Linked DNA regions of Stegostoma tigrinum. The protein of the gene in region 2 interacts with the protein of the main gene of each other region in a pairwise test. Links are inferred from orthologs where the notes say so. Each region holds a gene or a part of one and is shown on either strand. Other genes may lie near its edges.

What was found.
Region 1: the proteins of napbb (region 2) and stx5a interact in binary tests that used the Homo sapiens proteins (3 or more experiments, as listed by UniProt). The two-hybrid records come from large-scale screens. The link is inferred for Stegostoma tigrinum from reciprocal best matches to the Homo sapiens genes NAPB and STX5.
Region 3: the proteins of napbb (region 2) and stx16 interact in binary tests that used the Homo sapiens proteins (3 or more experiments, as listed by UniProt). The two-hybrid records come from large-scale screens. The link is inferred for Stegostoma tigrinum from reciprocal best matches to the Homo sapiens genes NAPB and STX16.

The regions. Positions count from the first base shown.
Region 1 is NC_081395.1:11,926,583-11,934,022, forward strand, and holds the start of stx5a (syntaxin-5a), read right to left. Parts: upstream 3,028-7,440; 5' UTR 2,913-3,027; intron 1-2,912. UniProt on the Homo sapiens protein: Mediates endoplasmic reticulum to Golgi transport.
Region 2 is NC_081362.1:11,143,069-11,150,717, reverse strand, and holds the start of napbb (N-ethylmaleimide-sensitive factor attachment protein, beta b), read right to left. Parts: upstream 3,099-7,649; 5' UTR 2,870-3,098; coding exon 2,772-2,869; intron 2,261-2,771; exon of another isoform or gene 2,011-2,260; intron 1-2,010. UniProt on the Homo sapiens protein: Required for vesicular transport between the endoplasmic reticulum and the Golgi apparatus.
Region 3 is NC_081372.1:60,523,573-60,530,950, forward strand, and holds the start of stx16 (syntaxin-16), read right to left. Parts: upstream 3,015-7,378; 5' UTR 2,946-3,014; coding exon 2,865-2,945; intron 2,837-2,864; exon of another isoform or gene 2,817-2,836; intron 1-2,816. UniProt on the Homo sapiens protein: SNARE involved in vesicular transport from the late endosomes to the trans-Golgi network.

The DNA.
Region 1 (7,440 bases), on a different chromosome or scaffold from region 2:
GGGGGGCTAACATAACTTTGCCTGTCTTCACCTAAAAGGGGTCAATAATAGATCCATTGCTTGCTTCATAACAATATGCAAACAAAGGATGGCAATAAACTTTGCAGAATGCCCATACTGCAGCAGAATCTTCCATAGATCCTCACAGTCTACAGTGTTGAAGGCCTCTGTCAGAGCAACATGACAGCCAAGCTGTTCAGGGGTGTTGCTAGTAAGTGCTTTTGCACACTAAGAGCAGTGGAAACATGGAACTCTTCCCCTACTTTTCTGGAACTGGAATGATAAGATATTTGAAGATGGAGATTGATAGATTTTTATCAGGCAAAGGGTTTAAGAGTTACCGAGCAAGGGAAGGTGAGATAAGATGGAGTTACGGAGCAAGTATGATCAGTGTGAATGAAAGGAAGGGTTCACAGAAGCAGGAGGTGGCCATTCAGCCCCTCAGGCCTACACTGCCAGTTCAGTTCCTGTAGCCCTGTAACAGGAACGTGGCAAGGTTAAATCTGGAAAGATGGAGATATTTCCGAGACAAAACGCAATGCAAAGGCTGATCAAAATGGGAACAAGAAACAGGATCACACCCATGAAGTGTTTACATTTTACAGAGATTTCCCCTTCCCTGGTTTACTGATTCTTGCACGAACATACACTCAAAGCCAAATTATTGACCATTGCTATTTGGAAGAGCTAAAAGATTCTCATCCCTCAGAAAAATATTCCTTCTCATCTCTGCAATGGGCGGTACCTTACTTTCTGTCTAGTTGCAGATTCTCCCTCAAGAGGAAAGCTCCCGTCTACATGCACCACATCAAGTCCCCTTAGGATCTTGTAGGTTTCAATTAAGTCACTTCTTATCCCTTAATCCAGCCAACATAACTATTTTCATGCATTCCCTAATCAGCACAGATGCCAATCTGACTGCTGGAACTGCCGACCCCACAAATTACTGGCCTGGATCAACTGACACCAGAGCCCTACAACCTCACACAGGATAAACGAGGACCAATTCCAGTAAGTTGTAATTTGACAGATGCAATGCTATCTAATGCAAGTCAGAAATCCAATCTTGCGTCTACCAGTCAGAAACTTTTCAAAGACACCTCAGATCATTTGTTCCGAGCAAACTTTCATCACCTGGGCACATGTATGAAGGGTTGAATGGCTTCCATCTGCACAGTCACATCCTACAACAATTTAAGCCGAACAAAGGAGAAAAAGCTTGCATTTATGTAGCAGCACTTTTACTCGGCCAGAATGCCCAAAGCTCTTTGCGACCTTATGAATGAAACTGACAAGCAATGGTTTGTGTGCAGAAAGATGCCACATGCAGAAACAATCTGCTTTAGTGATGGGGCTTCACAGGAAGAATGAACTTTCTGCACCTCCTACTTGTCCAACAGTGCCAGAGAACTTTCTCAACAGAAATATTGACTGATATTGACCAGTCTCATCTCCTGTTGACCCATACTGGACAATGTCACTGGCTAGCATAATTCTCTGCTTTGGTTGCACCAGATACAGTTCCCTCTTTTATTTCACCTCCCGATTACCTCAGGGGGTGCAAAGGTTTAACATCTGTCAGAAAGACAAAACTCCAGACACTCTGGTCAGTCTGAGCCCTGTCTGGGTGACTCAAGTCCACAGTCTTGGTGGCTCACTCAATGACATCCCTGGCGTAACACTTCGACAAGCAAGAAGCTCGAACAAAGATCTTGTAACACTACCTTCTTGAGTGGGCACAAACTAACCCTGCACCTCGCAATACTAAAGAAAGCAGGGGGTTGGAGGTGGGACAGGGTGAGAACAGACAGAAAACAATGATGGTGGCGGGGGGGGGAGAGACGAAATCGAAAGCGGTCGGACAACAACCGGGATGGTGAGGGAGAATTGAGAATGGTCGGATGACCATGGTTGGGGGGCGGGAGGAATCCAGAACGGTCGGACAACCACCACGGTTGGGGGGGGGAAGAGAATCAAGAACGGTCGGACAACGACCATGTTGAGGGGAGGGGGAGAGAATCAAGAACGGTCAGATGACCATGGTGGGAGGAAATCGAGAATGGTCAGACGACGACCACGGGGGGGGGGGGGGGGAAGCCGGAGAATCGAGAATGGTCAGATGATGACCATGGTTTGGGGGGGGGGGGAGAGAATTGAGAACCATTGGACAACAACCATGGGGGGGGGGGAAGAGAACCGAGAACAGTCAGAAGACGACAGCAGGGGGGGGGGGAAGGAATCAAGAACTGGTCAGGCAACGGGGGGGGGGATCAAGAACTGGTCAGGCAACGGGGGGGGGGGGGCGGATCAAGAACCATCAGACGCAGGGGGGGAATGCAGCAAGAACTGTCAGACAACAGTGGGGGAAGCGAGAACAGTTGGACACCAGGGGCGGGGGGGCAGCAAAATTCAACTGATGTGAGAGAGTGGTAATGAAGTTATTATTTGGCAGGTGGTCGGGGGGGGGGGGGAAGAGAAGAGTTTGGACTGTTGCGGGGGTGAAGATCGTAGGAGGAAACAAAAAATTTGCTTTTAGAAAGAACAAATTTCATATGAAAGTGGGGTGAAGTTGGGGATGGAGGAATAAGAGTGGGGGGGTGTGTAAAATGAAAAAGTGGAGGCTTTATAAGGGTGCGCACCCCCAGTGATCGTGGGGGGGGGGAAAGAGAACTCTCAACCAAACTTAGTATTGAGTGCAAACATCCCGCCCCCTTCAGAAGCCGATTGGTCATATCCTAGCGCCACTTGGTCGTTGATTGGACCACGCTTTCTCCGGCTGGATTCCCAAGTTTGGTTGCGCCGGATGCAGCTCCCTCTGATATTTTCTAAGCCGGCTATTTTAAAAACTTAATTCTTCCGCCCTCTAGCTTACGTATCTATTAAGAGGAAAGATTGGACACCGAAACACTTACCACGGCGGGCTCGAAGTCCGACTGATTCTGACCCTCTCTACAGTATCTGTTTACCGTCCCCTCACTGAAAGGCCCGGCGCTCGAGCCCTACTGGCGTCACTGACAAGCCCACGTGACTGCCACGTCCACCAGCGCAGGCGCACAGGCTGCTCTACTCACACGGCCAGAGCCCCAAGCCCCGCCCACAAACTCCTGTCCCGCCCATCAGTACCTGTGAGGATGCTGCCTGTGTTCCATTGGCACTCCATACATAACCCCTTCTAGTACAAAACACAGTGACCTGTCCTCTGCAAACTAAAGGAACATGTTCAATCCTTGTGACTTCTTCATGTGAATTACCCTGAAGCCTTCTAGTTCCCCATTTCCTTCTCCATGGCAATGTTTTAGCCTATTGGAGTCAACTTGCCCACACAATGACCACCCTTCTCTCCAACAGCGTCAATTGTTGTGAGGGTTCCAGGTTTGGTGTTCTTGCATTTTGTCCCGACAAGTGCAGGGAATAAAGCTTCGATAAAATGTTTGTGTTTTCAATAAGATTCTGCTCTCCCTAATCATGGTCCCTTAAAATGGGGAGATTCTTCCTCTGTCAGGGAGGCATGGTCTCTCAGAGCGAGGGACCAGGGTTTGATTCCATCCTGGGGCGACTGTGTGGAGTTAAGCATTCTCCCTATGTCTGCGTGGGTTTCCTCCCATATTCCAAACATGAGCAGGTTGGGTGGATTGGCCATGGGAAGTGGCCAATCTATCCATCCAACACATCTTTGGATTAAGGGAGGAAACTCATGCTCCAGTGCAGTGTTGCCTTGATGGAATAATGCTCTTCAAAACAAAAGTTCTCATGAGACCAAGTCCTTCACACTTGCAGGAAGCACATTCCAGATCCCTCCACCCTCTCTCACATCGCACCTTCTGCTCCCTCCCACATCACACCCTCCACCCTCTCTCACATCACACCCCCCAATCCCTCTCACATCACACCCTCCACCCTCTCTCACATCACCCTCCAATCTCTCCCACATCACACGCCCAACCCTCTCACATCACACGCCCCAATCCCTCTCACATCACACGCCCCAATACCTCTCACGTCACACCCTCCAACCTGTCTCACATCACACCCTCCACCCTGTCTCACATCACACCTTCCACCCTCGCTCACATCACACCCTCCAATCCCTCCCACATCACACCTTCCACGCTCTCTCACATCACACCCAACATAGCCTCCCACATCATATCCTCCAGCCTCTCACATCACACCCTCCATCCCCTCTCACATCACACGCTCCACTCCTTCTCACATCACACCCTCCACTTCCTCACATCACACCCTCCAATCCCTCCCACATTACACCATCCACTCCCTCTCACATCACACCCTCCACTCCCACCCACATCACACCCTCCACCCTGTCTCACATCACACCTTCCACCCTCGCTCACATCACACCCTCCAATCCCTCCCACATCACACCTTCCACGCTCTCTCACATCACACCCAACATACCCTCCCACATCATATCCTCCAGCCTCTCACATCACACCCTCCACTCCCTCCCACATCACACCCACCTCTCCCGCCCACATCACACCCTCCATCCCCTCTCACATCACACGCTCCACTCCTTCTCACATCACACCCTCCACTTCCTCACATCACACCCTCCAATCCCTCCCACATTACACCATCCACTCCCTCTCACATCACACCCTCCACTCCCGCCCACATCACACCCTCCACCCTCTCACAAGCCACACCCTCCACCCTCTCACATCACACCCTCCACTCCCTCTCACATCACACCCTCCACTCCCTCCCACATCACACTCTCCACCCTTACTCACATCACACCCTGCAATCCCTCTCAGATCAGACCCTCCATGCCCTCCCACATCACATGCGCCACCCTCTCACATCACACCCTCCACCCAGTCTCACATCACACCTTCCACCCTCGCTCACATCACACTCTCCACTCCCTCCCACATCACACCCTCCACGCTCTCTCACATCACACCCACCATACCCTCCCACATCATATCCTCCAGCCTCATTCACATCACTCCCTCCAGTCTCTCACATCACACCCACCACACCGTTCCACATCACACCCTCCACTCCCACCCACATCACACCCTCCACTCCATCCTACATCACACCCTCCACCTTCTTTCACGGCACACTCTCCAATCCCTCCCACATCACACCCTCCACCCTCTCACATTACACCCTCCAAACCCTCCCACATCACACCCTCCACTCCATCCTACAGCACACCCTCCACCATCTCTCACGGCGCACCCTCCAATCCCTCCCACATCAGACCCTCCACCCTCTCACATCACACCCTCTATCCCTCCCACATCACACCCTCCACCCTCTCTCACGGCACACCCCCTACTCCCTCTCACATCACATCTTCCACTCCCTCTCACATCACACTCTCCACCCTCACTCACATCACACCCTGCAATCCCTCACACATCACACCCTCCAATCCCTGCCACATCACACCCTCCGCCCTCTCAAATCAAACCCTCCACTCCCTCTCACATACCCTCCAATCCCTCCCACATCACACCCTCCAATCCCTCCCACATCACACCCTCCACGCCCTCCCACATCACACACTCCACTCCCTCTCACATCACACCCTCCAATCCCTCCCACATCACACCCTCCACCCTCCCACATCACACCCTCCACCCTCTCTCACGGCACACCCTCCACTCCCACCCACATCACACCCTCCACTCCATCCTACATCGCACCCTCCACCTTCTCTCACGGCACACTCTCCAATCCCTCCCACATCACACCCTCCACCCTCTCTCATGGCGCACCCTCCAATCCCTCCCACATCAGACCCTCCACCCTCTCACATCACACCCTCCACCCTCTCTCACGGCACACCCTCTACTCCCTCTCACATCACACCTTCCACTCCCTCTCACATCACACTCTCCACCCTCACTCACATCACACCCTGCAATCCCTCCCACATCACACCCTCCAATCCCTGCCACTTCACACCCTCCGCCCTCTCAAATCACACCCTCCACTCCCTCTCACGTACCCTCCAATCCCTCCCACATCACACCCTCCAATCCCTCCCACATCACACCCTCCACGCCCTCCCACATCACACCCTCCACTCCCTCTCACGGCACACCCTCCAATCCCTCCCACATCACACCCTCCAATCCCTCCCACATCACACCCTCCAATCCCTCCCACATCACACCCTCCACCCTCTCACATCACACCCTCTAATCCCTCCCACATCACACCCTCCACCCTCTCTCACGGCACACCCTCCAATCCCTCCCACATCACACCCTGCAATCCCTCCCACATCACACCCTCTAATCCCTCCCACATCACACCCTCCACCCTCTCTCACGGCAGACCCTCCAATCCCTCCCACATCACACCCTCCAATCCCTCCCACATCACACCCTCTAATCCCTCCCACATCACACCCTCCACCCTCTCTCACGGCACACCCTCCAATCCCTCACACATCACACCCTCCAATCCCTCCCACATCACACCCTCCAATCCCTCCCACATCACACCCTCCAATCCCTCCCACATCACACCCTCCACCCTCTCTCACGGCACACCCTCCACTCCCTCCCACATCACACTCTCCACCCTCACTCACATCACACCCTGCAATCCCTCTCAGATCAGACCCTCCACGCCCTCCCACATCACATGCGCCACCCTCTCACATCACACCCTCCACCCAGTCTCACATCACACCTTCCACCCTCGCTCACATCACACTCTCCACTCCCTCCCACATCACACCCTCCACGCTCTCTCACATCACACCCACCATACCCTCCCACATCATATCCTCCAGCCTCATTCACATCACTCCCTCCAGTCTCTCACATCACACCCACCACACCGTCCCACATCACACCCTCCACTCCCACCCACATCACACCCTCCACTCCATCCTACATCACACCCTCCACCTTCTTTCACGGCACACTCTCCAATCCCTCCCACATCACACCCTCCACCCTCTCACATTACACCCTCCAAACCCTCCCACATCACACCCTCCACTCCATCCTACAGCACACCCTCCACCCTCTCTCACGGCGCACCCTCCAATCCCTCCCACATTAGACCCTCCACCCTCTCACATCACGCCCTCTATCCCTCCCACATCACACCCTCCACCCTCTCTCACGGCACACCCCCTACTCCCTCTCACATCACATCTTCCACTCCCTCTCACATCACACTCTCCACCCTCACTCACATCACACCCTGCAATCCCTCACACATCACACCCTCCAATCCCTGCCACATCACACCCTCCGCCCTCTCAAATCACACCCTCCACTCCCTCTCACATACCCTCCAATCCCTCCCACATCACACCCTCCAATCCCTGCCACATCACACCCTCCGCCCTCTCAAATCACACCCTCCACTCCCTCTCACATACCCTCCAATCCCTCCCACATCACACCCTCCAATCCCTCCCACATCACACCCTCCACG
Region 2 (7,649 bases):
GAGATAGAGGGGGGGAGAGAAAGAGAGATAGAGGGGGGGAGAGAAAGAGAGATAGAGGGGGGGAGAGAAAGAGAGATAGAGGGGGGGAGAGAAAGAGAGATAGAGGGGGGGAGAGAAAGAGAGATAGAGGGGGGGAGAGAAAGAGAGATAGAGGGGGGGAGAGAAAGAGAGATAGAGGGGGGGAGAGAAAGAGAGATAGAGGGGGGGAGAGAAAGAGAGATAGAGGGGGGGAGAGAAAGAGAGATAGAGGGGGGGAGAGAAAGAGAGATAGAGGGGGGGAGAGAAAGAGAGATAGAGGGGGGGAGAGAAAGAGAGATAGAGGGGGGGAGAGAAAGAGAGATAGAGGGGGGGAGAGAAAGAGAGATAGAGGGGGGGAGAGAAAGAGAGATAGAGGGGGGGAGAGAAAGAGAGATAGAGGGGGGGAGAGAAAGAGAGATAGAGGGGGGGAGAGAAAGAGAGATAGAGGGGGGGGAGAGAAAGAGAGATAGAGGGGGGGGAGAGAAAGAGAGAGAGGGGAGAAAGAGAGATGGGGGGGTGGAGAGAGAGATAGCGAGAGAGATCGCGCGAAATAGAGAGAGCGAGAGAGAGCGCGAGGGGAAAGAAAGAGAGAGAGAGGAGAAAGAGTGAGCGAGAGCGAGCGATCAACAGTGAAGATGCTGAGACCCCATTTCCTATTCTGGAGAGTTCAGGAGTAAGGGCCACAGTGTCAGTTGGAGAATGATGGAGGTAGCTAGTTACAATTGAGATGGCAACATTAATCTCTTAAATTCTCTGCCTCAGAGGGTTCTGGATGCTCATTCATTGCATTGAAGGCTAAGTTTCATAGATATTCGTTCAATGGAAATCAGGGGATAAGCGAAAGGATAAAAAAAAGTGAACTTAAGGTCAAACAATAGCCAACTAGTTACTGAACAGAAGAGCAGGTTTGAAGGGCTCTTATACCCCACTCCTGCCTGTGTTATGTTCCATATGAGAAAATAACCATTATAAATGACAAAGTTAGTAAAATCAGCACTTTTTTTAATTTTAGCAAAATACTATCAGTTCATTAAAATCAAATGTATAGACTAACATCTTGTAATAGTAAAAATTTTGAAAGTGTGGTTAAAAGAAATAATAAATCTTGGCAAAGAGATTTATATAGAGAATTTAGCCAGTGCTGCCAATGTCTCACATCACTTTATACAATAGCTCTTTGCTATTACATAATCAACCTTTTAGTTTCAATGCTATTTTAAATTTTGAAAATCATGTACTTGCAAGAAAATGTTGTGTTGCTCACATTTAGAACCAAAAACAATGTGGTGTAATATGTCTAAATGACCTCCAGGAATTTCCCATTATCTGAGTAAGTAAATCCAACAAGTAGCTGGAACTTACAATCATGAAAGTCTAAAGTTCAGAACTTGGTCTTTGTTTGAGTTCATGATATCTGCTGAGCCAAATGTGGCAGCACTAAAATTAGGTTAAAGGGGGAAAATGGTTTATCAGTGTAGCTGCTGCTAATCATTGTCCAGTGTACCCACAATTCCTATCTCACTGGAGTGTGTGTTTGGGGTGGTGGATGCGTGTAGCTATTTGGTGAATACAGCATTGGGATAGGCTGTGATGGCCACTCAGGTCAAATAGCAGGTTGGTGCTCATCTACATAGTTCACATAAACAATGACCACTTCAATGATTCAAGGGGACATTACTGCAAGGAAGCGGAGACAGACAAAACGGTTCTGAGGATGGGTCATTTGACCTGAAATGTTAACCCCCCGCTTTCTCTTCACAGGTGCTGCCAGACCTGCTGAGCTTTTCCAGCAATTTCTGACAGAAAATGGACTCTTTTAGCCAAATTTTCTTTAATGTCAAATAGGCTGTTAAGTGTTATGTTTCACATGTGTACACCCAATAGGAACAGTGTGGATAAATAACACTTCAGTAACACCATTTATTTTACCCTAATTTCCAAATAATATTATTGCATTCAAAATGTTGATATAACAGATTACATTTCAATTACCTGCCCTCAGTTGAAATAATGAGTCTTTATAGCAGTAAATTCATTTCCTTAAAACCATAACCACTTGGGAACTTTTCAGAGACTTTTATATGCGACCACTCCTGATCAGCATCCATACAACGTGCAAAATGAATCCCAAATCCAGGAGCGTACCGAGAGGCGACGGTGTAACGTTATGCAATGAAATCCCACACATAGTAACAGTTAGAGCCAGCACTGGAGACTGGACAGCTACCGTAACCTTGACGCATACATCTTCTGCAGCTCGCCTTTGTACCAATTTTGCAGACGGAATTAAATTATAATTCCCACCCACACCGCACCGTCCCCCGCCCCCAACACACACACAAAGGAGACGTTTAATTCCCAATGGATGATTATATAACTTCCCACGCGATACTGACACCGCAGATTGTCGAAAAGGAGAAATACCACCAATCCCCTCAAATCCCTTCGTTTCAAGCAAAACATGATCTGAAATTATCCCTCTCTCCTCCACTGGAGGTTAAAAAAAATGGCAGCTAGCAAGCACTGCAGTATTTCCAAAGTAGACTCCATCCGCGGAATGTTTCAAAATAGAGATGCAGTACATATGAAAAAAAAACTGGAATATTTGATAGAATTTTTATTTAAAAATGCATGACCAATGGACTTGACTTCGCAGTAGTCGGTATGTATTAACCCCAAGCCTGTCTGCTAGAAGGGCTATCCCACCTCCTGAAAAAAAACACGACTCAAAACTAAACTGATGCTGCTCTTACCCAAACAAACCTCCAAGAAAGGAATGCGATGATTTCACCTTCTTCTCTGCATCAGCCATCAGTTGCATGGCTTCTTTCTCTTTGCCAGAATTGTCCATGTTATTGATTTTGTTTTAATTTTGAGCCTCTGGATTTTTTTTTTCAATGCAATATGTAATTTATTGCTAATGCAGAGTCAAGCCTTCGTCGAGCTTTGCAGATGCTACAAGCTTTTTTTTCCTCTCTCTTCCCCCACTTAGCCTAGAGATAGAGAGCGCTCTTTAGCCCGCCTGCAACCCACTGACAAGCCAGTGCAGTGCTTGAGTCCTGGGCCTCATCAGCTGATCGAAGGCCGCGCCCCCTCCACTGGGGCCAGTCGGCACGCGAAGCATGCTGGTCATTGTAGTCCTCTTCCACCGCAGCCTCCAGTATTTCTGTCGACCGACCGGTGGAGCGATAACTACAAGTCCCAGAGGGCCGCCCTCACCCCGCCAGCCACCCTTCGCTCCAAGCACCCACGGGTTCGGGATTGTAGTCAGTTTGTGCAGCACAGGGGCAGATAGATGTTAAGATTACTGTTCCAGCCGGTAGCAACGTTTGAAAAATAATGGTTGCATTGTCCATAACCGTGGTTTCCCACTCATAGTGGTCAACAGGGACTGTCACCCATGCTTCCACCCTTCCTTCTTCCCAAAACTCACAACAGGATGAGTCGGTCCCCCTTGTCTTCCTCCCACCAGCCTCCGTATTTAAACGATCATTCTCTGCCATTTCAGACAACTCCAGCAGAACACTGACACCAAACACACGTTCCCCTCACTCCGCCTGTCTGCATTTCACGGGGATTGTTCCCTCCGGCACGCCCTAGTCCATTTATTGACCACTAACCCCAATCCGTCTTCCCATGTAACCATGGTGGTGAAGATGCAACAGCTGCCCATTCATTTCCTCCCTGCTTACCACTCAAGGGCATAAACAGTCTTTCTGATGAAGCTGCATTTCACCTGTACCACCTCCAATCTTGTGTATTGTATTCAGTACACCCAACGTGGGCTACTCTACATTGGAGAAATCAAACACAGACTGGGTGACCACTTTGCAGAACACCTCCAGTCTGTGCACAAGCATGACTCCTGATCTCCCCAAAGCCGGTCCTTTTAAAACAGCATCCTGCTTGCACACCCATATATCTGTCCTGGTTCCAGCAAATCACAGCACAAACCGGAGGAACAACATCTCATTTTCAGACTAGGCACTTTACAGCCTTCTGGACTAAATATTGAGTTCAACACCTTCAAATTGTGAACTGACTCCCATTTCTTCTCTTTCTTTTAGTTTTACTTGTTACATTCTCTGTCACCATGTCCTCTCGCCCCTCCTGGCATGCTATTGGGACTGCTTTCTTCTTCAAGTCTGGCAGTTAGATATACAACTGGTCTGCCATTCTCACATTCTGATCCCTAACTTTGAACTATCAAATCTTTTCTCCAACAGCACTCTACATCCATCACCACCACACACCCCCGCCCATAACAACTATAATATAAATGTTTTTCCCCTCTACACTTCATTTCAGCTCTGATGAAGAATCACCTGGACTGGAAACGTTAGCTTGCCCTATCTCCACGGATGCTGTTTGACCCACTGTGATCGCCAGCTTTTGCTGTTTTCAGAATAAAACTTGCATTGGATAAAATGCATTTTATTTTTATCCTTCCATACCTCGGGCCAAAACTAACCAGTGGGTTACCTTTGACTAGAAACTGAATTTGGACTAGGCATTGTCAATACTGTGTGTACAAGAGCAGATCAGAGACTGTGAATCGTTTGGTGAGAAATCCACCTCCTATCTTCCCAAAGCCATGTCCACCAAGACATAAGTCAGGAGTGTGATAGTATATTTTGACACAACTGGAGTAGGTTCAGGAAGCTGATCAAACTGTTCGAAAAGCTACGAAATTTCTCCATGAGATGTTTTCAGTTTTCTTGGCATGCAAGTTCAATAAGTGGAGAAAACTGTGGGAGATCTCCGTAGATTGTCTTCTGTGGATGAAAGTTTATGTTGCTGAAGAGTCTGGGGCAATATCTCATGCCCCACAAGGCAGTCATTACCTTGGCACAGAGCGAGTTTTACCTGGCTGGGAACATTTGATAACCAATCCAGAAGGGCAAGTTTGACACGTACTTGTCAACTCTTCAAGGATTTGGGCTGATTTGGTGAGAATCAAATGAACTACTTAACAAATTTGCCATTGTTGCGAAGTATTGCTTCAAAATGATCTTTAATGGAAAGGGTGTGATCACCCAGACACTGAACCCTGATTTTTATTGGTCAAATGTGTACAATTCCCAGCCATTCTAAAGTGTTGGGAAACGCAGTAATGGTTACTCCTAAATCAAGAATAAAGGCGGCATTGAAATTCTTCACTTTCAGAATTATTGACCGTAGTTCAGATCATTATCATAGGATCCCTACCATGTTGAAGCAGGCCATTGGGTCCATCAAGTCTTCAGACATCATCCCACCCAACCCCTGTAACCCTACATTTCCCATGACCAATCCCCCTAACCTGCACATCTTTGGACTGTGAAAAGAATCCCACGCAGACACAGGGAGAATGTGCAAACTCCACATAGACAGTCACCGAAGGGTGTAACCGAACCTGGGTCCCTAATGTTATGAGGCAGCTGTGCTAACCAGTAAGTCAACATACCACCCTTCTATCTTCTATTGCGGCGCCAATGACTGAGAAAATCTGTAATTTCCACTTCTTTTATGCTCAATTTGCTGGATTCTCTTTGCTTTACTTTTAACAGATTGTATTGCTGTACTGCTGAAGTGGGCTGAATCACAGACACATCCCCTCCTGGACAATCTTGGCACTTGGGATGTTTCCCTGTGCCGCAACACCAGCATGATACAGTGGCGCCCCCTGCATTGTCCTCATTTTTGACAGGTTTCCTGTTGCAGAGGTAAATGCCATTTGGTTGTAGCCAACTTATGGGTTCAAAATTTGTGTCAAGCTGCATCACGGCTTTGTATTTTGCACCCAGTTTTGCTTTATCCATTAGATTCCTTGCTCCATCATTGAAATAGCTGCTCAGAGACTGGTATCCCACCACCAAGTCATCCTTTATCCACCTGTGAACAGTACACTGGCAATGGTTAGGCAGCTCGAACCAGTGGTGTGGACTGAGGAGATTCTAAATCCTTTGTTTATAGAGGTCAGATATGGCCCACGTTAACAAACCCAATCAAGGACTTCATTGACAATGAGATCCACCTGGATCCAATCACTACAATCTATTTGGACTTTAGGAAACAGAGACCATGCCCTTACATATGCGTATAAGCTCAACCCTCAATATTGCAGCATTACAAAATATAGCTGCCTTATTTAAGTCTTCAGCCGTCTGTAACAAAGCTGCTGGCTACTCGTTTGGAGTGGGTGCATTCATTAAGAGGTCCTTCAGACTAAGATAAGCATTGAACACTGCTAGGGCTGACTGAAAATCTGCCGAGCACACATCTGCACTTCACCTATTCATGATCTTGGGTTCATTTCGCAGTACAGGTGACCCCACTACACTATACTCTCACACACACACTCTCTCACACACACATGCGCATGCGCACACACACACATATTCACACAGACAAATACACACACTTTCTCTCTCTCTCTCACACACACACACACACACACACACACACACACACACAAACATAAATCTATGGGGTGAATTTGCATTTGCAGATTTGTAATTGCAGATACACTCTATTTTGTTCAAAAAGCACACAATTTGTGGATGCAGTCAGTCAGTGGGGCATTTTCTAGATTCCTGCTTTGGAAATAAAACCAGTCTGACTCCACGTTAAAACACAGATAGTTTCTAAACAAAGCCTGACACCAAAAGGCATTGTCTGACCTGAGATGTCACCTCTTGTATTCATTGATAAAACCTTAGGTTATCTCAGGACATTAACATGAAAAATTCAGAGAGTTGAATATTAATCATTTGAAACCTGCAATTCCTTTCTAACTGATTCAAGATTTAACAGGAGGGAGTCAGCCAGCTAACGTAGGGTATTAAATACATTTGAATCAATTGTATAATCCTTTGATTTTTTACATATAAATTCTGCATCTTGGTACTTCTCTCCTTACACCTGAGGAAAGGGCAATACTTCAAAAGTTTGTGTGTTCACTTAAACCTGTGCATTATAACCTGGTGTCATATGATTTTTGACCTTGTCCACCCCAGCCCAACACCGGCACCTCCACATTATGATCTGTTCAGCACTGAGTATAAAACAGTACTGATCTAGGGTTAGAGCTGATTCAAATGGAGACCTGAGGCCGTTTTGCACCTGTGGAGCTGCACTTTCCCACCTAAGTGCATGTATCACATCTTTGACAGAAACTTTGAAGATGGGTAGGGATTGATGATTGGGTGCAGACACTCTGCCACTTCTGAGTTTACCTCTTTTCAGGGGGGTGTTCACCTATTTCACTTCGAATCATTGTACTCCTAAAAACATCGAAGGATTCTTGTCTTGTGGTTCAACCTTTCCATGTGATTGTTCAATGTTGCCTTGTGGCTCTTCAGATTACTCTGAAGAAAACAATTTAATTGGGTGTCTCCACTGCTGTCAATACTTTACAGTATGTGTTCTTTAAATCTGCAAACTCAGAGCACACTTCTGCTTTCCTTTCAGTCCAGGTTTATTGACATGATGGCAAGGCATTCCAGGTATTTCAAGTTCAATCCTTCCTTGCCATACAGGAATAAGCATGTTTTGAGCTGTCTGGGTTCCAACCTCTGAGAGAGTGCTAGTACATATATTAATCAATTGGGTCAATGGGCTGATGAGTGGTTTATAAAATAATGAGGGAT
Region 3 (7,378 bases), on a different chromosome or scaffold from region 2:
TTAAAATGAACTTGAACCAAAAAGACTGACATACAAAACAGCGTAACAATGTAAAGAGGAGATGGTATAGGTACAGTCACAGTCCATTTCCACAAGGGGATAAGGTAGCTGAAATAAAGTCAGAGTTCCCAGATGGTAAAAAATGTCATGGTCAAGTCAGCAGACTGAAAAAACAGAACCCAAGCTAACAATCTAGGGATAACAAAGTGTGAAGCTGGATGAATGCAGCAGGCAAAGCAGCATCTTAGGAGCACAAAAGCTGACGTTTCGGGCCTAGACCCTTCATCAGAAAAGGGGTAGGGGGAAAGGGTTCTGAAATAAATAGGGAGAGAGGGGGAGGCAGATCGAAGATGGATAGTGAAGATAGGTGTAGAGCAGACAGACAAGTTAAATGGGCGGAGCCAGTAGAGTTGAGGAGGTAGGGAGGGGATAGGTCAGTCCAGGGATGACGGACAGGTCAAGGCGCAGGATGAGGTTAGTAGGTAGGAAATGGAGGTTCGGCTTGAGGTGGGAGGAGGGGATAGGTTAGAGGAAGAACAAGTTAGGGAGGCGGAGATGAGCTGGGCTGGTTTTGGGATGCAGTTGCGGGGAGGGGAGACTTTGAAGCTGGCGAAATCGACATTGATACCCTTGGGCTGCAGGGTTCCCAAGCGGAACACGCGTTTCTGTTCCTGCAACCTTCGGGTTGCAGGAGGCCAAGGATGGACATGTCGTCTAAGGAATGGGAGGGGGTGTTGAAATGGTTCACCACTGGGAGGTGCAGTTGTTTATTGCGAACCGAGCGTAGGTGTTCTGCAAAGCCTTGTCCCTAAGCCTCCGCTTGGCATGAGTTTGAATCCCACCATGCTAGATGGTCTGATTTGAAATCAATAAAAATCTGGAATAAAAGCTAGCCTAATGATATCCAGATAATGTTGATTAATATTGATGAGCCACATTTGCCAGGAGTACATAATCTGTGACCACGTTGATAGTTGCAATATAAACCATCCAGTTCACTAACGCCCTTAGCAAGATAACTGACTCAACTTCCTCAAGAAATTAAGAATTAACACTAAATGCTGGCAATACCCACGAATGAATGAAATCTCAGAAATCACAGAATCCCAAGTGTGAAAACAGGCCCTTCAGCCCAACAAGTCCACAACCTTCATAGCAACCCACCCTGACCCATTCCCCAATAACCCAACTAATCTACAAATCCCTGAACACTGTGGGAACTTTAGCATGGCCAATCCACCTCAACCTGCACATCTTTGGGCTGTGGGTAGAAACCGGAGCACTCAGGAAACCCACGCAGACACAGGGAGAATGTGCAAACTCCACACAGACAGTTACCCGAAGGTGGAACTGAACACAGGTGCTTTGCGCTGAGGCAGCAGTGCTAACCATCGAGCCACCATGCGTATTTTGTGTCATATGGATAATACAACCTAGAACAAGGTTGAAGGTTCAGAGTAAACAGAAGAGATTAGAGAATACAGGACAATACAACGTTGATGTGACACTACAACTATGTTTTCATAAGCATTTGCCATCTGCTACTTAACTCAGTATTGTAAAAATGCTATAGTCCAAGTTAAAGCAAAGTCAAAGTAAGGGTCAGTGACAGCATGTGCACAAAGTTGGCTTCGTGACAGGAATTAATTGTGGGGAACAGTTGTTTTCTAGACTGGACAAAGTGGGGGTGCCAAATAACAAAATGCGTGAGTATAATGAATTGTGAGCAGAATAAATCAAGAGGACATGACTGGTGAAATACACCAACAAACAGCAAATGGTATTTAATGCAGAAAAGAAAAATACATCTAGTATGAGTAAAAACAAGGGGAAGTATAACAAAAAGAATACAGTTCAAGACGTGGCATAGAACCTGGGGTTTATACGGATGAATCACTGCAGGTGGGATGTGGTGAAATAAAGCAAGTTTTATAAGTGAAATAAGTTTTATAAGTGAAAGCATTGAGTCTAAAAGCAAGGATGCTATTGTGGACCTTTATAACAACTTAGGATCAGCCTCAACTAGAATATTGTCTACAACATTAGGCATTACACTTTACATGGAATGTGCAGAAAAGATTTAAGAGCATTATAGTAAAGATGAGAAACTTCAGTTATGTGGGTAAATTTGAGAAACTGACAGTTTTCCTAGCAGAGAATATTGACAGATGTGGTTTAAAATCACAAAAGGTATGGACACAGCAGATGGGAAAATCTGTTCTGATTGGCAGGAAGAGGGTGAGCCAGTGGACACTGATTTTAGGTCAATGACAACAGAAACCACAGGTGACAGGAGGAAAAAAATCATCTCTTCAGCGACAGGTGGTCAGGATCTGGAAGTTGCCACCCGAGATTTAGGCGGAGACTGAGGCAATCCTGACTATATGAAGGGAATTAGATGATCATCTGGAAAGAGAGAAAGAGAGAGAGAGAGTGAGAGAGTGTGTGTGTGTGGAAAATGTTGGGCTAAGAAGAAACAGGACTGAGTGAGTTGCTTATGAAGTGAACTGGCCCCTGTCTCTGTGACCCCTCAACAGGTGAAGGCACCGAATGGCCTACTCCTGATCCTTTGTAATGATATTATGTATAATGACATGTACATTTTATAACATATAGCACGTAGCAGTTATGTAAAAATATTCCATAGCTGTAGATTCTATAACAATGCTATACACCTACATTCTGGTGTGGAGGGTTATGATTAGACTCTGCCTCAATGGGTCATATTGCCCAGTGTCGGTGCCAGGCCTGGTTGCCCGCCCAGCTTGCTGCTCCCCTCTCCCGGCTCACACACTAACACAGGGACTGGGACTCACCGCAGCGTCGCTGCTGCCGCCGCCGGCCTGTCCCGGCTTTGTACTCACTTGCTCGGCCAGCAGCTGCCGGCTCTGGGCCGCTCGGTTCCGCATCAGCACATAGGCATCGGTCAGACTGCGGGTCGCCATTGCTGCTGCTCCCTAGTCAACCGGCTCCCTCTATCCCCAACCCGGGGAAGAGAAAGCCTGCAACACCCGGAAACCACTCCGGGGAAGAGAAAACCTGCAGCACCCGGAAACTACAAACGCGTCCGACTGCCTAAAGATACCGACTGTAACCTCGGCGAAAGGTTCCGGAGGTGAATGTCTTCTCAGCTGAGGCACTCATTCTCCCTGTCGGGGCCTGTAGTCTTGGTACGTGGGCCTCAGGCTCGGTCTCTGTGGTACTACTGATCAAACTTTAAGCAACTTATCGTGAAAGTACGCAATTCTCCAGTCCAAGTAAGCCTCACTTGAAGATGATAAAATGTGAGGCTGGATGAACACAACAGGCCCAGCAGCATCTCAGGAGCACAAAAGCTGACGTTTCGGGCCTAGACCCTTCATCGGAGAGGGAACTGGAATAAATAGGGAGACAGGGGGATGGGGAGCCGGTCCGCCTCTCCCTCTCCCCATCCCCCTCTCTGATGAAGGGTCTAGGCCCGAAACGTCAGCTTTTGTGCTCCTGAGATTCTGCTGGGCCTGCTGTGTTCATCCAGCCTCACATTTTATTATCTTGGATTCTCCAGCATCTGCAGTTCCCATTATCTCTGATACTATTTAAGCCTCACTTGAAGCCTTCTTTTCCTTTATTCATGGATGGGATGAAGTTGTCACTGGCTGGACCAGAATTTACTGCCCATCCCTAATTACCCAGAGGTCTGAAGTCACATTGTAAACCAGACCAGAAAGGACAGCAGACTTCCTTCCCTAAATAAGTTCAGTGAACCAGATGGGTTTTTATGATAATCAGCCATTGTTATAGGCCTGGAGTCACATGTGGGCCAGACCAGGTAAGGATGGCAGTTTCCTTCCCGAAAGGACATTAGTGAACCAGATGGGGTTTTCCTGACATTTGATAACGGATTCATGGTGATCATTAGATTCTTAATTCCAGTTTTTTTTAAATTGTTGAATTCAATTTTCACTGTCACCCATGGTGGGATTTAGACCTAGATCCCTGGAACATTGTGTGAGTCTCTGGATTAACAATTCAGCAATAATTCCACTAGGTTTTTGCCTCCCGAAGTGTGCTCTTCATCAGGTCAGAAATCACATGACACTGTGTTATAGTCCAACAGGTTTATTTGAAAACACAAGCTTTCAGAGCCTCACTCCTTTTTTGGGTTTTAGTGAGAGAGGTAGTATCAGACACAGAATTCAAAGGGTCACTGAACCACAGCGCTGACAAGCTTGCGGAGATGGTGGTGCATTGGTAATATCATTAGCACCACAATCTAGAGGCTTGAGTTTATAATCTAGGGAGCAAGCATTCAAACCTTGACAGGGCAGTTGTCAGAATTTAGATTAAATTAATAAAAATCTGGAATAGGAAGTCAGCCTCATTAATAGCAACCATAATATCTATTACTGAATGTCATAAAAACCCATCTGGTTCACTAAAGTTCTTTAGGGAAGGAAGTCTGCTGTCCTTCCTGGTCTGGTTTACAATGTGACTTCAGACTGTTGGCAGATGGTTGACTCTTAACTGCTCCTGAAATGGCCATATTAAGGGCAGTTAGGATTGGGCAACAAGTGCTGGCCTTGCTGGGTAATGCCTGCATCCTATGAAGTAATCAATTTTTTTAACAACTCCTGTACCGGAAGTCAGCATATGTTCAGGGAGGCAGTGGATTAGTGGTGGTGTCACTGATCAGTCATCCAAAAGCCCAAGCTCTGGAAACACTGGCTCATATCTGACCACTACAACTGACAGAGATAACATACATTTGCTTCAATCTAGTCTCAGTGATGCCCATGAATTGTCAAAATCCATCTGTTTAACTAATGTCCGTTAGAGAACAAAATCTGCCATCATTGGCTTATCTGGCCTTGATGTGACTCCAGACCCACAGCAATGTGACTGACTCTTGGCTGCCCTCTCATATAGCCTGGTAAGACATCCACTTCAAGAGCCATCAGGGTGGAACATGAGCTCAATTTCAACCCACAGAAAACCACTTTTACAGCCAGGAATGAAAATGGTGGGAGACCAGAATCTTCTTCAACATGTCCATGGACTACAGAGGTTACAAAATATTTTCAGATGCATTAACATAGTTTTTAAGATAGTAAAGAGTTTTGATCTCTTCAAGATTAAATATGCCATGAATAAAAAGGGGCAACTCAGTGGTTAGTGCTATTGCCATACAGTGCCAGGGACCTACGTTCTCGGGTCACTGTCTGTGTGGAGTTTGCACGTTCTCCCTGTGTTGCATGGGTTTCCTCCGGGTGCTCTGGTTTCATGCCGTAGTCCAAATATGTGCAGGTTAGGTGGATTAGTGTGGTAAATGTGGCATTTTGGGGATAAGGTGGGGGTGCTGGATCTAGGTGGAATGCTGTTTGGAGGGTCAATGCCTTTTCCCCATTTCCCTAGGTATGATTACTTCCCAAAAAGCAATCTAATGCACTGTCGAATGTCTCATACCACATTCCGTACCCTAATTGCTCACTGTGTAAAAAAACTTTTACTCACATCACCCTTGCTTTGTTTCCATATCACTTTAAATCTGTGCCCTCTCATTCTAGTACAAGTGGAAACAGCTTCACACTATTTGCTCTCTCCAGCCTGCTTAGGATTTTGAAAACCTCATTCAGATCTGATCTCAGCCTTCTTACCTCCAAGTAAAACAATTCCAACTTACAGTCACTGACTGACAGAGATGTACATCACGGAAAAATACTCTTCAGTCCAACTCATCCATGCCAACCGAGTACCCAAAATAAATCCAGTCCCATTATCCAGCATCTAGTCCATATCCCCCTGAACCAATCCTATTACTATACCCATCCAGATACATTTAAATATTGTACTTCTACCAACCTACACCACTTCCTCTGGCAATTCATTCTATACATGCACCACCCTCTGTGTGAAAAAGTTGCCCATTAGGATCCTTTTAAATCTTTCCCCTCTCACCTTAAACCTACACCCTCTAGTTTTGGACTCCCCTACATTGGGGAAAAGACCTTGACTATTCAGCCTGTCCATGCTCCTCATGATTTTATAAACCTCTATAAGGTCACCCTTCAGCCTCCGATATGCCAGGGAAAATAGCCACAGCCTTTTCGGACTCTCCCTATATCTGAAAGGCTCCAACCCTGGCAACATTCTTATAAATCTTTTCTGAACCACCTCAAGTTTCACAACATCTTTCCTGTAGCAGGGAGACCAGAATTGAAAGCAGTATTCCAAAAGTGACCTAACCAATGTCCTGTACAGCTGCAACATGACTTTCCAACTCCTATACTCAATGCACTGACCAATAAAACCAAGTGTACCAAATGCCTTCTTCACTACCCTGTCTACTTGCAACTCCACTTTCAAGGAACTATGAACCCGCACTCCAAAGTCTCTTCGTTCAGCAACGCTCCCCAGGACCTCACCGTTATGCATATTAAGTCCTGCCCTGATTTGCCTTTCCAAAACGTAGCACCTCACATTTACCTAACTTAAACTCAATCTGCCACTCCTCAGCCCATTGGCCCATCTGACCAAGGTCCTGTTGAATTCTGAGGTAACCTTCTTCACTGTCCGCTACACAACCCATATTGGCATCATCTACAAACATACTAACCAAACTCCTATAATCACATCCAAATCATTTATATAAATAACAGAAGGCAATGGGCCCAGCACTGATCCTTGTGACACACCGCTGGTCACAGGCCTCCAGTCTGAAAAGTAACCCTCCACCACTACTCTCTGTCTCCTACCTTCAAACCGATTTTGCATATTAATAAGGTAATGTGGCTGTAGTACCTGGTTTGCTTCAGAACATGGTTAAGCAGTTTCAGGGCCGAAGAAATTATGGGAGAGTTGCGGTGTGCCACAACGATGCCACCCGAAGGTTGCAGGAACAGCACCTCATATTTTGCTTGGGAACCCTGCAGCCCAATGGTATCAATGTGGACTTCACAAGCTTCAAAATCTCTGCTCCCCCAACCGAATTCCAAAACCAGCCCAGCTTGTCCCCGCCTCCCTAATCTGTCCTTCCTCCCACCTATCTCCTCCTCCCACCTCAAGCCTCACCCCATCTCCAACCTATTAGCCTCATCCCACCCCCTTGACCTGTCCATCCTCACTGGACTGACCTATCCCCTCCCTAACTCCCCGAATACATTCACCTTTACTGGGTCCACCCCCGCCTCTTTGACCTGTCAGTCTCCTGCCCACCTATCTTTTCCTTTGTCCATCTTCTATCCGCCTCCACTTCTCTCCCTATTTATTCCAGAAACCACTTCCCCTCCCCCATTTCTGAAGAAGGGTCTCGTCCTGAAATGTCAGTTTTCCTGCTCCTCTGGCACTGTTTGGCCTGCTGTGTTCATCCTGCTGTACACCTTGTTATCTTGCATCTAAATGG